3 linked regions of the Arabidopsis thaliana genome follow. The protein of the gene in region 1 interacts with the protein of each later gene in a pairwise test. Each region holds a gene or a part of one and is shown in the gene's direction. Other genes may lie near its edges. The genes, in order: AT1G57790, SK10 and SK9.

What was found.
Region 2: the proteins of AT1G57790 (region 1) and SK10 interact in a two-hybrid assay, tested with the Arabidopsis thaliana proteins (one large-scale study listed by BioGRID).
Region 3: the proteins of AT1G57790 (region 1) and SK9 interact in a two-hybrid assay, tested with the Arabidopsis thaliana proteins (one large-scale study listed by BioGRID).

The regions. Positions count from the first base shown.
Region 1 is NC_003070.9:21,403,820-21,407,605, reverse strand, and holds AT1G57790 (F-box family protein), read left to right. Parts: upstream 1-1,649; 5' UTR 1,650-1,731; intron 1,732-1,962; 5' UTR 1,963-1,969; coding exon 1,970-3,028; 3' UTR 3,029-3,264; downstream 3,265-3,786. Other genes in the region: AT1G57780 (heavy-metal-associated domain-containing protein), read right to left, coding at 3,378-3,694, 3,778-3,786.
Region 2 is NC_003074.8:7,699,223-7,702,346, reverse strand, and holds SK10 (SKP1-like 10), read left to right. Parts: upstream 1-1,900; 5' UTR 1,901-2,111; coding exon 2,112-2,570; 3' UTR 2,571-2,624; downstream 2,625-3,124. Other genes in the region: PEX22 (peroxin 22), read left to right, coding at 1-51, 130-231, 538-603, 756-857, 935-1,039. UniProt on the Arabidopsis thaliana protein: Involved in ubiquitination and subsequent proteasomal degradation of target proteins. Together with CUL1, RBX1 and a F-box protein, it forms a SCF E3 ubiquitin ligase complex. The functional specificity of this complex depends on the type of F-box protein.
Region 3 is NC_003074.8:7,696,367-7,699,585, reverse strand, and holds SK9 (SKP1-like 9), read left to right. Parts: upstream 1-1,969; 5' UTR 1,970-2,035; coding exon 2,036-2,497; 3' UTR 2,498-2,553; downstream 2,554-3,219. UniProt on the Arabidopsis thaliana protein: Involved in ubiquitination and subsequent proteasomal degradation of target proteins. Together with CUL1, RBX1 and a F-box protein, it forms a SCF E3 ubiquitin ligase complex. The functional specificity of this complex depends on the type of F-box protein.

The DNA.
Region 1 (3,786 bases):
ACGCCTTAAACAAGACTATCCATATTCTTCATAGAATTTTTTGGCCTTATATAAGGAGGAAAGAGTTCTCAGGATCTCCATCAAAATTCTGCAATTTCTGAATTCTGATCATTGAAATTTTACAACCCTAGCTTCAGCCATCCGTTCTGCAGCTGGTCCATGCCATGGCTTATGCTCCATCATGAAACATGTTTTTTGGATGATCCAAATATGTCCAAACCTCGGATGAACAACTTCAAGATTTCATGGGAGAAATAATCAATTTACTTGTGAGGGTTAATGTTTACTGAATCAACTGGTATGAAAGTTTTAACACCCATCTTGGAATTGGTAAGCTATTCTCATCTTTCTATGAAATCACTATATTCTTAGAATCAATATATAGTTATAAATAATGTGATCGACAAAAAAATTACATAAGCATCTTGGCACGAGATTGTTGATTACATAACATTTTGGCTCCTAAAAAAAAAAAACACTGAACGTAGATGAAAGTGGAAGCTAAATAGTAAATACAGCTTTTGCTCTACCTTTAATTCTCTTTTTAATATGATGACCAGAAGATCATCAAATGATTTTAAGACTTTTCTGCTCACTATTTTAAGACTTTTAAGACTTTTCTGCTCACTATTTTTCCTTCCCTTCAGATGATTTCAAATATGCTTTATTGTTGTCTAATAATACGATGAAGTAGGTCAATGAGCATTGAAAAAGAGCTGATTATGAGAAAAGAAAGATACTACATTTCTTCGTTTCTGGTCATGAATTATTCTGCTATGAACTATCAATACAGAGACAATTACAATGTCTTGTTCTCAAAAAGCGTCTAAAGCATAATTTACCTTTGTAAAAACTATTAAGGAGAATCATATATATCAATTCCTTTGATTACTCCTCCAATCACTCTCGTTAATATCTCGTATAGAATAATATCTTTCTCTATAAGTACTCTGTAGAAACGTGTATATAAAAGAGCTCTTGTAATCATTAATAATACAACACAATCTATATTCATAATAAAAACTTTGATATTGGTTACTACAACCTCCAAGTTATTGCTTTTTATATTCTTACTGAAAATACCTTTTCTGTCTGCATACGAACAAAACATATCTCGAGATAGTACCGTTCATGTTTCTTTTACAATGTCAGATACAAAATTACATAATTATTTCCCATACTAACAAAACTATAAATGAAATTAACTCAATTGTCAAATTAAATGTGGTATCCCGAATTATCCCCTACTATATACAAAATTAGATAATGTCCCTACTATTTACGGGACAAGTTTTTCAAAATATAATCTTAGATTATGGAAATTATATATAAATAAAATATGGTAAAATCTTCATTAATTATATTTTTAAAATAATTAGATGTTTTGTATATTATTTTGTGAGAAACAAAATTTGTTAGTCATAAACTAAATACCAAATTTTAAAAATAATAGATAACTGAGAAAAAAAATGAAATCTGATTCCAAAAAAGAAAAGAGTTGAAAGATAGAAATAAATAAGAAAAAATCATCAACTAATATGGAAGACAATTCTATATTTTTTTCTTATTTAATATTTTAACTATTTTCATTTTAAGGGTATTTCATGTATTTAACTACATATTTAACATTTTATTTTATTCTGGTTATTATAATAGTAATCACTCATCACTTATACATCCAGTTGTCTCGTCTCTTCACCTTTCAATCAGAAGAACAGTGAAGTTGAGATCGTAAGTTTTCTTTCCCTCTAATCTCTATCTCTTTTTGCTTCAATTTTGATGTTTTGCATTTCCATCTATCTGATCTGAGTAACAATCTGAATTTCGTATTTGTTGCCCAATTCTGAATTCTTGAATTCAATGATATACACTTAGCCTGATATGAACCAAAATCAATCAAAGTTTTGTCTTTTCATAATCTGATTATTCAATTTTCGATCTTGTTTTATGAACTATTCTCAGATCCATCATGAGCGTGAATACCAATGAAGGGTCCAAGAACCTGTGGAAGGATCTTCCTTTAGAGCTTCTGAGTTCAGTAATGACTTTTCTTGAAATCAAAGATAACGTAAGAGCTTCTGTTGTATGCAAATCGTGGTTCGAAGCCGCAGTTTCAGTTAGGGTCATTGACAAATCTCCTTGGCTCATGTACTTCCCTGAAACCAAGAACACTTACGACTTTTACGATCCATCGAACTGCAAGAAGTATACAATGGAGCTGCCTAAATCGTTAGTTGGCTTTATTGTTCGTTACTCGAAAGATGGATGGTTACTTATGAGCCAAGAAGATTCATCACACTTTGTCTTGTTCAATCCATTTACTATGGATGTTGTAGCCTTGCCTTTTCTTCACTTGTTCACTTATTATCAGTTAGTGGGTTTCTCTTCTGCTCCTACATCTAGTGAGTGTGTGGTGTTTACTATCAAGGATTATGATCCAGGCCATGTCACTATCCGTACTTGGAGTCCGGGTCAAACGATGTGGACTTCAATGCAGGTTGAGTCTCAATTCCTTGATGTTGATCATAACAATGTTGTTTTCTCAAATGGCGTGTTTTACTGTCTTAACCAAAGAAACCACGTTGCGGTTTTTGATCCGTCTTTACGTACATGGAATGTTCTTGATGTACCGCCACCTAGATGTCCCGATGATAAGAGTTGGAATGAAGGAAAGTTCATGGTAGGTTATAAAGGTGACATACTTGTGATTCGTACATATGAAAATAAGGACCCTTTGGTGTTTAAACTCGATCTTACTCGAGGTATTTGGGAGGAGAAGGATACACTCGGTAGTTTAACTATTTTTGTGAGTAGGAAGTCATGTGAATCGAGAACATATGTTAAGGATGGGATGTTAAGGAATAGTGTATACTTCCCTGAGTTGTGTTACAATGAGAAACAAAGTGTGGTGTATTCGTTTGATGAAGGGAGGTACCACCTGCGAGAGCATGATCTTGATTGGGGAAAACAGCTTTCATCTGATAACATTTGGATCGAGCCTCCCAAGAACGCTTTTGAGCTAGTTTAAAAGTATTTTTGCAATGTTTGGTGTTTGAACTTGGCACATCTTAGAGATGATGACTTAGCTCCACTAATATGTTCTTTTGTTGCTATTGTTATTGTTATGTCAATTTTTTGCTCACTGTCTAAGCTCCAAGCTCCTCTTGTTCCTTATTCGATAAAAACAAAATTTCTCTCACACTTCAAGATTTTCATGGGATATAGCTTTATAATAAAAAGATTAAAATGAAATCATACTTTTATTTTGTCCAACTTACATAATACTTTTGGTGAATGAGACATTAAAGTATATCACAAAATGCATAAGGTCCATTAGCATGTTGTATTTTTCATTGTGGACACTTGTTTCGACTATGTTACGAAATAGAACATGCATTAGGATTTTCATCACTAAACATGTAATAATGTTTGGCCATCTCCTTTTCATAATCAGTAATTGGGTTGAGAGATACATTTCTATCCTTGTCGATTTCTTCATAAATATCTGCAAGTCTTTTTTCTTCTTCAGCCTCCCTTAACATCATTTCAGATTCCCACTCCTGTCTTTCCTTTTCAGCTTTTTTAATCTTTTGATGCATCTTCTTATTAAGTTTTCTCGACAGTTCATCCTTATCAAAGTTTCCAATGACCACAACCTTTTTATTTTCTAGATCCACTACATATGTTTCAACACCTAATCATACATAATTCAGACAATTTTATTAAAATAAATCACACATTATATATTATATGAAATTGATAAAACAGATATTATACCTGTGCATT
Region 2 (3,124 bases), on another chromosome or scaffold:
TGCCGTCTTCTTGGAGTAATTCTTGAGGAAACAAGTCCAGAAGAACTCCAAGTAATGATATTTTCGTTTTGAGATTTTATTTATATAGTGTGTGATGCGTTTGTATCTGAGACGAGTGATTTTATGCAGAAACAAGCCACAGTGAGGTCATCTGTTTTGGAAGTTCTACTAGAGATTACAAAGTATAGTGATTTGTATCTTATGGAAAGAGTTCTTGACGATGAAAGCGAGGTGAGCATTTGTTTTTCTCTCTCATTCGTGTTCTTTTGTTTGCCTTCGTGTTGGAACTAGTCTCTAGTAGGACAGAGTAAATTAGTTGTGGTTATTATTGAACATGGTTAGCTTAAATACTCGGGCAGTAGGTCATAACATTACATGGATATTCATATCGATAATAGTTGGTCGATGAATAATGTGTAATTAGAAGGATTCTTAAGCACATATCTTTACATTATTAGAGGAATCGAGTTCATTGGTGTTACTATATGCTTATTGTCAGTAGTTTCTGAAACTCACATTTTGAGCTCTAATTTGCAGGCCAAAGTTTTACAGGCTTTAGAGAATGCAGGAGTTTTTACATCTGGTGGTTTAGTCAAAGATAAGGTATTCAAATCAAGCTTTCTTCTACAAAATCTTGCACTCGTTAGCGGTCTTAGAAAGCCTTCCAATAATCGTATCAAAGCATGACTTTCGATATTGCTGTGTATGTTTCGAGAAAATGTAAGAATCACAATTCTGTAAACATGAAATTGCAGGTGCTCTTTTGTAGTACAGAGATAGGAAGAACTTCCTTTGTCAGACAGCTAGAACCTGACTGGCATATTGATACAAACCCGGAAATCAGCACACAACTAGCTGTAAAGTCATTTCCTTGTTTACTCATTTACATTCTTACCTTAGCTTTTAGTTTAACTCATTCCCCTCTTATTTGCAGAGGTTCATCAAATATCAGCTTCATGTCGCTACGGTGAAACCCGAGCGAACAGCTCCAAATGTGTTCACCTCGCAGTCAATAGAACAGTTCTTTGGAAGTGTTTAATATCAACAAAAAAAGAGAGGTGAAAGATATTACGTTGTCCTGACTTAAGCATCGTTGATCGAGTGTCTCTTAGGCTGAAACTTGAAACTTGTTTTTCATTTTTCTTTGATTGTGTCTAAATTAAAGTTTGATATACATTTGGAGTTAGATATTACTGCGAGTGCCTCTGTGAAAGTATCCAAGTTTGTAATTTTTGTATTAGCAACTTAGCAAAATTCTTTAAGAAATAAACAAATGTCCGTTGTTTAGTCATTAGTTCATCGACGAAGTGTGGATTAGTTCTATATCGAAATGCTTAAAGAAAATATGACTTGCTTATATTTTTCCTTGATTTAATTCATTTATATTATAAAGTAATACTTCATATAGTTGGTAAAAAAAATCCTGATCTGTATGTGAAAAACAGTGGATGATCAAATAAAACTGTGTACTGAATTGTCCTAATTGGAACATTTGTGGTATTAAGAGAAAACAAAGAGATCTTCTAGACATTGCCGTGTAATACTAAGATCAATTAATTCTGTGAAAAACAGTGGATGATCAAATAAAACTGTGTACTGAAGTTTCCTAATTGGAACATTTGTGGTATTAAGTGAAAACAAAGAGATCTCGACATGCCGTGTAATAATATTAAGATCAATTAATTGCGTAAGACGTGATATTTATGCATGCATTTATAGAAACTTTGAAGACGCGTTATGTGTATAAAACAACATCATAGTGCATTTTTAATAAAAAAAGTTTATTTGGAATATTTGAGTAGGTGGTTAGTCCAATATATAAAATTGAATTACATATAATCTTACAAGTAAACACGATAAAAAGTTGTGGTTTTAGCTTTAAAAGACTTTAGTGGAAAACAACATCAACATGAGTAGACATAAAACTTCAAGCTTTCGTGACTTGCTTGACACGATACATGCATCTATGAAAATTATTAGGGCTTATTAATAGACAAACGCATAGGTTCATAACTTCATTACCTTATTACTGAAATCCTTCTCTCAATTCTCAATCATTTTCTCAATTCTTCAATCTTCCAGAGAAAAAATCTCCCCCCAGCGAAAAAATAATGTCGACGAAGAAGATCATATTGAAGAGCTCCGATGGTCACTCATTCGAGGTCGAAGAAGAGGCCGCATGCCAATGCCAGACCATAGCTCATATGAGTGAAGACGATTGTACCGATAATGGAATCCCGCTTCCAGAAGTGACAGGCAAGATTCTTGAGATGGTGATCGAGTACTGCAACAAGCACCACGTCGATGCCGCTAATCCTTGCTCCGACGAGGATCTCAAGAAGTGGGACAAGGAATTCATGGAAAAATATCAATCCACGATCTTTGATCTCATTATGGCTGCGAATTACCTAAACATCAAAAGCCTTCTTGATCTAGCATGCCAAACCGTCGCGGATATGATCAAAGACAACACTGTGGAGCACACTCGCAAATTCTTCAACATTGAGAATGATTATACACATGAGGAAGAAGAAGCGGTTCGTAGGGAGAATCAATGGGGTTTTGAATGAGCGGGTGAAGCAAACACTAAGCAGCTTTCTTTCTTTTCTTTCTTCTTTAGTGTGTTTTTTTTTCAGTTTCGTTATCAATATGGGTGATGGTGACTTCGTCTACGTTCGATAATCCAATAATGAAAGCAGCTGCTTTCTTTCTTTTCTTTTCGTTTTCTTCTTTAGTGTGTGTTTTTCAATTTCTTGATCAATGTAGTTGATGATGAGTTCATCAGAGTTCAATAATCAAATAATGAAAGTAGACATATATTTCGTTTGTTGTGATAATACTTACAAAAATACTCTTCTTTACTCGATAAAATACTTTTGCATTCCTTTATTTTTTTTTTATTAAATTTCTGACAGGTTATGGCTTGTTAATCTTATAAAATGTATTTAAAATTATACAAAAGTCAGACGAAATATTAAAAGCTACATACATTTAACTAAAAAAAGTTATATATATATATATATATATATTGACATATTTCTTTTCTAAAAAATTGAGATCTATACAATATGTTTTCACGAAAAACAAAAACTGCAGTTTACAAAAAAAAAAACAAAAAAACTGC
Region 3 (3,219 bases), on another chromosome or scaffold:
TGTAGTTGATGATGAGTTCATCAGAGTTCAATAATCAAATAATGAAAGTAGACATATATTTCGTTTGTTGTGATAATACTTACAAAAATACTCTTCTTTACTCGATAAAATACTTTTGCATTCCTTTATTTTTTTTTTATTAAATTTCTGACAGGTTATGGCTTGTTAATCTTATAAAATGTATTTAAAATTATACAAAAGTCAGACGAAATATTAAAAGCTACATACATTTAACTAAAAAAAGTTATATATATATATATATATATATTGACATATTTCTTTTCTAAAAAATTGAGATCTATACAATATGTTTTCACGAAAAACAAAAACTGCAGTTTACAAAAAAAAAAACAAAAAAACTGCAATATAATATATATTATATAGATATATTTATAGATACGTATAAGATATAGACATATTCAAATTTCAGACTTATTCGTAAAGCAACAGTGAAGTAATGAACTTAATTTCGCAAACTACTGGATTTTGATTTTATTATAAAGTAAAATTTCATATTATTGAATAAATTCTTATATTCTTTATGCGAAAAAACAGTGGATGAGTTCTTCTTTTTTGAATTAAAATTTAAAACTGTGTGCGGAAGTTACTTAATTGGAACATTTTTGGTATATATTAAGAAATGACAAAGAGATATGGAAAATATAAAATCAAAGACCATATATTAATTGAAAGTATTAAAACATATGAAATTTCAAATAAAGGTTACAGATTATATAACCTTTCAATGTTTTCAAGTGCGTATGTAATGTACACAACATCATAGTGCATTGTTAATCTTCATTTTTTTCTTGAAAATTTGAGTTGGTGGTTAGTCCAATGGATAAAAACGGAATTACAAGCAAATCTAGGAGTAAATACAACAAACACGAGTTTCCTAATTAAAAAAAAATTGTGGTTTTACTCAAATGGCCACATAGAAAGGTAATATATCAAAGACTTTTGTAGAAGAACAGCATTGCTTAAAAAGAAAGGGAGAACAACATCAACATGAGTAGACATACAACTTTCGAAAAAAAAAAAAAAAAAGTAGACATACAACGATAATTAGCTTTTGCCGTATATATATATATATAAAGACATACAACTATACAACTAAACTCTCTTGTGACTTACTTGACACAATACAATGACAAAACTGTAGAGGAAATCAGTAACAAGAAGGAATAGTTAAGAAGAGCAAAACTAATTACACAGTTACACACGACATAAGTTATTGGCAAGTACTTGTGAATTCAATAATCCAATAATGACATATATATTTCATTCATTGTGTATTGTAAAAAACTTTTGTATTCATATGTAATTGTTTTGATTAAAATTGTGAGCTGAAGTTTCCTATTTGGAACTTTGTGTTTGTGGTATTAATTAAGATCTAAAAAAAGTTAGAATCAAAGAGGTAGATATTACCGTGTAATACTATCAATTGCGTAAGACGTGATATTTATGCATTCATTTATAAAACATCATCGTAGTGCATTTTTGATGAAAAAGTTTATTTGGAAAAATGGAGTCCAGTAGATAAAAAAAAAAAAAGAATTACATAGAAACTTAGGAGTAAACACTGTAAAACACGAATTTCCAAAAAAAAAAAAAGAAGTTGTAGTTATAATTTAAAAGACACATATAAAAAATAATTTAGTGGAAATTAAAACAACATAACATGAGTAGATAACTTAATGATTGTGTGACTTACTTGACACGATACATCATACATGTATCTATGAAAGTTAGGGCTTACATACTAACTTACAAGTAAACACATGAAAAAGTTGTGGTTTTAATCAAAAAGACACATAAAAAAAGACTTTAGTGGAAGAACAACATCAACATGAGTAGACATACAATACAACTTCAAGCTTTCGTGACTTACTTGACACGATACATGCATATATGAAAGTTATTAGGGCTTATAAATAGACAAACGCATAGGTTCATAACTTCATTACCTTATTACTCAATCATTTACTCAATTCTTCAATCTTCCAGAGAAAAAATCTCCCCCACTGAAAAAATAATGTCGACGAAGAAGATCATATTGAAGAGCTCCGATGGTCACTCATTCGAGGTCGAAGAAGAGGCCGCACGCCAATGCCAGATTATCATAGCTCATATGAGTGAAAATGATTGTACCGATAATGGAATCCCTCTTCCAAACGTGACAGGCAAGATTCTTGCGATGGTGATCGAGTACTGCAACAAGCACCACGTCGATGCCGCTAATCCTTGCTCCGACGATGATCTCAAGAAGTGGGACAAGGAGTTCATGGAAAAAGATACATCCACGATCTTTGATCTCATCAAGGCTGCGAATTACCTAAACATCAAAAGCCTTTTTGATCTAGCATGCCAAACCGTCGCGGAAATCATCAAAGGCAACACTCCTGAGCAGATTCGCGAATTCTTCAACATTGAGAATGATTTAACACCTGAGGAAGAAGCAGCGATTCGTAGGGAGAATAAATGGGCTTTTGAATGAGCGGATTATCAAAACCTAAACAGCTTTCTTTCTTTTCTTTTCTTTCTTATTTAGTGTGTGTTTCGTTATCAATCTAGGTGATGGTGACTTCATCTACGTACGATAATCCAATAATGGAAGCAGCTGCTTTCTTTCTTTTCTTTTCGTTTTCTTCTTTAGTGTGTGTTTTTAATATCTTGATCAATGTAGTTGATGATGAGTTCATCAAAGTTCAATAATCAAATAATGAAAGTAGACATATATTTCGTTTGTTGTGATGATACTTACAAAAATACTCTTCTTTACTCGATAAAATACTTTTGCATTCCTCTGTTTTTTTTAATTAAATTTCTGACAGGTTATGGCTTGTTAATCTTATAAAATGTGTTTAAAATTATACAAAATTCAGGCGAAATATTAAAAGCTAAATAGATTTAACTAAAAAAAGTTATATATATTGACATATTTCTTTTCTAAAAAATTGAGATCTATACAATATTTTTTAACGAAAAACAAAAACTGCAATATAATATATATATTTATAGATGCGTATAAGATATAGACATATTCAAATTTCAGACTTATTCGTAAAGCAACAATGAAGTAATGAACTTAATTTCGTATAACTACTGGATTTTGATTTTATTATAAAGTAAAATTTCATATAATTGAATAAATTCTTATATTTTTTATGCGAAAAAACAGTGGATGAGTTTTTTTTTTTTAATTAAAATTTAAAACTG